Saccharomyces cerevisiae S288C: one gene and its partner. Changing the gene in region 2 together with the main gene of any one other region gives a genetic interaction. Each region holds a gene or a part of one and is shown on either strand. Other genes may lie near its edges.

Region 1 (3,763 bases), on a different chromosome or scaffold from region 2:
AGATCATCGGTTCAAATCCGATTGGAAGCATTTTTTTTTAATATTTTAAAATTGTTTATATTTTTGTACCACAAACATCATTAGAAGCTGCAAATGAAGTGAATCAGAAAATTTAAAAATGAAACTAAATACTAAATATTATTGTTCTTTTTCTAACAGTTGAAGTGCCAAAAGCAGTAAATTGTTTAAATATTAGGGTATAAAACATGATATTATAAAGTTAATGATTTAGAATGGCTCCGTCCAGCAGAACCAGTTGATTACCATTAATGTTGAGAGTTTATGCGAGTTTTTCAGGCTCGATTATGAGATACGGTACTAGATAATTCAGGATTATCAGGATTATCAGGGTTTACCACTTGCAATGGTCCGCTCATCATCATGTCGGGTAAAGAATTGGCACTGAACCTTTCATTTGCACTATTCAAAGTATTTGCCTCTTCAAAAACTGTCGATGGAAGGTTCTGTTTCTGAACCGTAGCATCTTGTAAGCCAGCCAAGTTGTTTATGATGCTTCCACTGGTGTTTGAACTAGGACTACTATAATTTGCACCATTACTCATAGAAAAACCATACATATTACTTGTACCGATAGAACCCGCTGTATTACCCCTTGAATGTCTCATCCAATTTGTCGTACCAGAGGAGGGAGGCGGTCCTATTGGATTTGCATCCTCATCACCGAACGAATAGGGCTGATAATGTTTCGTTTCCTCCAAGTCTAATTGGTCGTGCGATTTCCGTCTCCTCCATATCAGGAACAATAGAATCAAAATAATAAAAATTACGCCAAACACAACACCAATAACAATACCGGCAATGGCTCCACCACTCAGACGCTGCTTCGAAGTCGAATTAGATCTATTATTTGAGGCGGCAGCAGTAGCAGTAGCTACCTCAGAAGATCGTTCAACCACGGATGTCCTCGTAACAAATATTGTTTCCTGATGTTGATCAGAAGTACTCACGATCGCTTTTGTAACCACACTAGTCACTAGTTCCACTGAGGTAACTATTGGTATCGTTGATGACGTACTAGGGGTCATTGAGGTCACTTTTGGAGTTGATAGTGTGCTGCTACTCGAGGACACTGGCACCAAGGTGGAAGAGGGTGAAGAAGTACGGCTATCGACTGTGGTATGCTCAGATGAGGACAATGTAATGGATGAGGAGCTAGACGTAACAGAAAAGATAGAGGTAGTAGAGGAGGTAGTAGAGGAGGTAGTAGAAGAGGTAGTAGAAGAGGTGGTAGAAGAGGTGGTAGAAGAGGTGGTAGAAGAGGTGGTAGAAGAGGTAGTAGAGGAAGTCGAGGAAGAGGTAGTAGAAGAGGTGGTAGAAGAGGTGGTAGAAGAGGTGGTAGAAGAGGTAGTAGAGGAAGTCGAGGAAGAGGTTGTTGAAGTGGTAGAAACTGTCGTGGCTATCATTTCAGAACTTTTCATATCTGTTGACGTTCTCCTAGTAGTTGAAGAAATTTGGGCGGAGGACAATGAAGAAGTTGTTGAGGGCATATAGGAAGTGCTAGACCCTTCTTTGGAAGAGGAAGATTCAACCGATGAAACAAAAGTTTCAGCATTTACATACACGTTCATGTACGATGACCCTCCACACATTTGGTAAGGCCAGCCAGAGCATTTAGTTCCACAGTTTGAATCTGTTGATTTCGTCAAAGAAGTCAGAAAACTTACCGAATTACCGCAGTAACAATCTGACCCGTTAAATAATGCTACTACTGCTGACTCAGGGCACTGGTTTTGACAGTATGACACTGATTGATATATGTATGAGTTTTTCAGAGACAGTCCAGCAGACTGGATATCCGCGGCACTGTAACAGCCTTCATAATTAAAATCAGCATTAACCAGCCCAATCAGAGATTGACATAGCAAACTTAGAAGTATAAATGAGATATACCCGATTTTAATAGTTCCTTTATTTGTTAATTTTGCAAACCATACTCTTTCCATTTTATATTGTCTTCTGCTAAAAAAACAAACTATACGGACATGAATTTCATATAATGCACAAAGAAAATAGCTCACCAAATATTTCTCGAGGATTATCACTAATTTCGAGGAACAATAGAAAATTAGTATGGCGAGGGATCAAAAAATTTTTTATAGCAAATGTTTGGAAAGAAAAAAATGTATAACGAATGCAATTGTTTTATTGAAGTGTAAGAAAAATCAATATCTAACCTAGATACTATTTCAGGCAATGAAGTAAAACAATGGTCCTGGTCTGCAGTATACCACTTACGTTAAAAAGCTTTTTAAGATTAGTGCGGAGGCATAATTACTTTTTTTATAATAAAGAAAAAAATTCTCGAGTGGCTAAAATAAGAAGTTTGCCCGGATCTCAAAGGAGAGCGGGATGACGTAAAAATTCCTGATTTTGGAAAAATGCATTCCTACTAACGAATCGGCTGGTAAAATTAGGTTAAAAATCTCCTAGTGAAAGGGCAAACAGAAAAAAATCTTCACATTAAGCAAGATTTAAAGTAAACAGCAAAGAAAAGTTTTTTTTGGTTCAGATGTAATATGGATAGCCCGTTTTAACAATTCAGAATCTCATCTGTAAAGCATTGTAATATCGCTGAAAAAGTGAAAAACATTAGTTTCTTGACTGCTTCATCATTTGAATGGTCTTCCAATACCAAGAGATGTGCTGGCCTGACAAAGGATTTCACCCTCTCACTTGTAATTTCATCTGCCATCTGCACAATACCATTTGTAAAAATTAAAATACCGTTTTGACAATCTAGCCATAAACCAAAATTCAGTTTATATTTTCTGGGTTTTCTGAAAACGTCCAAGAGACTCAAAGCATTTTTATTAAGTAAAATTGTTGTGAATTCATCAATCGAACAACTGTATGAAGGTTGGAATGTAAAGTACCTTTGTGTTAATTTTATTACGAGTTCCCTGAGAACATTCGGAATGTTCTGATGGACCGTGGCATTTGGCTGAGTTAATTCAGACCATTGTTGCCATTTCACCAACAGGTCATGTAAAATAAGCTCATTAAACGACTCAATGAGTTTTGACCAGTTAGCGTAAACTTTGGTGAAATCTTTTTCTGGGCCAAATTTTGTTAAAACGGTTTCAAAGCGATTAACATATTCCTGAATTAGCTTGTAGGTTTTGGAGTTGGATTTGTCAAAGGAACAAATTCTAGGTATAATACACATCTTTAGTAATTGACTTCTATGGCGGGATACTCCAGAATTGACGACATTAACCAAGGTGGTATCACTATCGTTCCGATCTTCCCCTTCCTTTTGCCTGCTGAGTTGGAAATAGTGTGAAAAATCCTTCTGAACCAAAGAACTCAATTGACAATCTTTAAATATTTGCAGTGGGTAGTAACGTTTTGTAGAATCCTGCAAATTCGTAACGAGATCGACTTGATTCAAACAATATAACACAAACACGTAGTTCTTATGACCTCTAAACATCGGCGGGCAAACATTCGACGCAACTCCTTCTAGTGGCAAGAAATTAAGTTCCTCTTGCAGAGTATGCAACTTTGAGTCATGGAATTCAGTACAATTTCCAGAGGATGATGCTACAGGCTGCAGCAAAATACTTGCTAACCTATTATCCTTACTCATTATAGTTTTTCTACCTGTATTTTTATCCTAAGTTGTATATGGTATAGTTCATGACAATATTTTTGATATATCTGTCAAAATAGCCGCCCAACTTCTACGCCCGGTACGTCACTGAGTACGAAACGGATATATATCTTCCATTTGTAACTATTA
Region 2 (3,026 bases):
ACATGGCTTGCATATCGAGGAGAAATAGATCTTTTAGTTTCATCGGGAGCACTCCGGACGTCATTGTTGCTATCACTGATTTCTGGATATCGCAGTGAAGGAGAATCATTAGTGTACGGCAACAGGTAAACGAACAGATCATGATAATCCCATTGGTAGGTGTTCAAAGTAAGTAGTAAGTTTTCCAGGGACTCGTTATCTATCGAGTTCTTCAGAATGACAATGCAACTCTGAAAAGTAATAAAAGGAGGAACCATGGAAGTCATTGGAGGCAGCATTTTCACCTGTAAAATATTGGTATGGTATATGATTCCGCCTATCAAATATTTTACCTGGGCCCAAGTCTTGCCCGGAGGGAGATTATCAATCCTTATGGGAATACCATTTGACTGCGAGTACGTCTTTTTCCTAGGAGCAGCTTTTGTGCTTGCTGTTGAGCTTTCGGTCGCAGAACGGGCAACAAAGGCACTGGCTGAAGCAGCCGACTTGGCACTATAGTGTGGTTCTAGAGTCATTATAAAGCAAGCGTATTGTAAGGAGAGACAGCAAACTCTCGTGTATCAGCCAACTGAACTGGAGGCCAAGACCAATCTAAAAAAAAAAAAAAATGAAAGAAACAAGTGTGGGAGGAAGTCTTGTTAACTTAACAGTTAAGCAAGCGTAAAAACCTTTAGGAAAGCGCACGAAAGAAGGCCAACATTACGACTATGGAATAATACAATGCACACAAACAAAAGGTAACATTTGAAAAATGGAGTAGAGAATATATTCCATTCCCCTAATTTTTTGCGGGTCTTCCAGGGCTGCGAACCCATCGCTCAAAACAAGCGCAGTGTCAATTAAGACATCATTGAACTAAAACGGAAAATTTGCTTGCGCCACACACCCTGGTCAATCGTACCAAGGGATATCACTCTGTACGGGTGGGAGGAAGGCGCGGCAATTAGAATGTGTGGGTGCGGAAGCTCGCCGCTCCCATCAAGAGAGTGGAAGACGTATGGTCTGGGTGCGAAGTACCACCACGTTTCTTTTTCATCTCTTAAGTGGGATTCTTACGAAACACGTCACAGGGTCAAAAGAAAGAGAACAAAAGCAATATTGTAATTGTCTCAGTCCACGGCAATGACATGGCATGGCCCCGAAGGCTTTTTTTGTCTGTCTTCCTTGGGTCTTACCCCGCCACGCGTTAATAGTGAGACAAGCAGGAAATCCGTATCATTTTCTCGCATACACGAACCCGCGTGCGCCTGGTAAATTGCAGGATTCTCATTGTCCGGTTTTCTTTATGGGAATAATCATCATCACCATTATCACTGTTACTCTTGCGATCATCATCATTAACATAATTTTTTTAACGCTGTTTGATGATGGTATGTGCTTTTATTGTTCCTTACTCACCTTTTCCTTTGTGTCTTTTAATTTTGACCATTTTGACCATTTTGACCTTTGATGATGTGTGAGTTCCTCTTTTCTTTTTTTCTTTTCTTTTTTCCTTTTTTTTTCTTTTCTTACTCTGTTAATCACTTTCTTTCCTTTTTGTTCATATTGTCGTCTTGTTCATTTTCGTTCAATTGATAATGTATATAAATCTTTCGTAAGTATCTCTTGATTGCCATTTTTTTCTTTCCAAGTTTCCTTGTTATGAAACGTTTCAATGTTTTAAAATATATCAGAACAACAAAAGCAAATATACAAACCATCGCAATGCCTTTGACCACAAAACCTTTATCTTTGAAAATCAACGCCGCTCTATTCGATGTTGACGGTACCATCATCATCTCTCAACCAGCCATTGCTGCTTTCTGGAGAGATTTCGGTAAAGACAAGCCTTACTTCGATGCCGAACACGTTATTCACATCTCTCACGGTTGGAGAACTTACGATGCCATTGCCAAGTTCGCTCCAGACTTTGCTGATGAAGAATACGTTAACAAGCTAGAAGGTGAAATCCCAGAAAAGTACGGTGAACACTCCATCGAAGTTCCAGGTGCTGTCAAGTTGTGTAATGCTTTGAACGCCTTGCCAAAGGAAAAATGGGCTGTCGCCACCTCTGGTACCCGTGACATGGCCAAGAAATGGTTCGACATTTTGAAGATCAAGAGACCAGAATACTTCATCACCGCCAATGATGTCAAGCAAGGTAAGCCTCACCCAGAACCATACTTAAAGGGTAGAAACGGTTTGGGTTTCCCAATTAATGAACAAGACCCATCCAAATCTAAGGTTGTTGTCTTTGAAGACGCACCAGCTGGTATTGCTGCTGGTAAGGCTGCTGGCTGTAAAATCGTTGGTATTGCTACCACTTTCGATTTGGACTTCTTGAAGGAAAAGGGTTGTGACATCATTGTCAAGAACCACGAATCTATCAGAGTCGGTGAATACAACGCTGAAACCGATGAAGTCGAATTGATCTTTGATGACTACTTATACGCTAAGGATGACTTGTTGAAATGGTAATTTTCTTTTATTTTTTTGATAAAACTACTACGCTAAAAATAAAATAAAAATGTATGATTTCCCTCCATTTCCGACCAATTGTATAATTTTATATCTGCATGACTTAATAATATAATATAATACTTATAAAATACGAATAGAAAAATTTAAACCGATGTAATGCATCCTTTTCTTTGTCGTCTTCGGATGATCTGCCGTGACAGGTGGTTCGCGCAAATCAAGCTGGTTTAGAGAATTTAACACAGAAATAAAAAAGGAAGATTCAATCTTCGTTTTTGTTTTATATCTTACTATAAAAGTGTTTTTTTTTAGTACGACGAGAAGTTAGAGTAATTATAAAAGGAATGCTTATTTAAATTTATTTCTTAGACTTCTTTTCAGACTTCTTAGCAGCCTCAGTTTGTTCCTTAACGACCTTCTTAACAATCTTTTGTTCTTCAATCAAGAAAGCTCTGACGATTCTTTCCTTGACACAGTTGGCACATCTGGAACCACCGTAAGCTCTGGAAACAGTCTTGTGGGTCTTGGAGACAGTAGCGTATTGTCTTGGTCTCAAAGTGGAAATACCT

Evidence for each region. A genetic interaction does not mean that the proteins touch.
Region 1: of GPP1 (region 2) and WSC3, extra expression of one rescues a mutant of the other (dosage rescue), as found in Saccharomyces cerevisiae (one study listed by BioGRID).

What each region holds. Positions count from the first base shown.
Region 1 is NC_001147.6:113,845-117,607, forward strand, and holds WSC3 (Wsc3p), read right to left. Parts: upstream 1,965-3,763; coding exon 294-1,964; downstream 1-293. Other genes in the region: NDJ1 (Ndj1p), read right to left, coding at 2,552-3,610.
Region 2 is NC_001141.2:253,411-256,436, forward strand, and holds GPP1 (glycerol-1-phosphatase GPP1), read left to right. Parts: upstream 1-1,704; coding exon 1,705-2,457; downstream 2,458-3,026. Other genes in the region: YIL055C (uncharacterized protein), read right to left, coding at 1-515; YIL054W (uncharacterized protein), read left to right, coding at 1,133-1,450; 60S ribosomal protein eL34 RPL34B, read right to left, coding at 2,816-3,026. UniProt on the Saccharomyces cerevisiae protein: Major isoform of glycerol-1-phosphate phosphohydrolase involved in glycerol biosynthesis. Plays a role in osmoadaptation and required for adaptation to anaerobic conditions.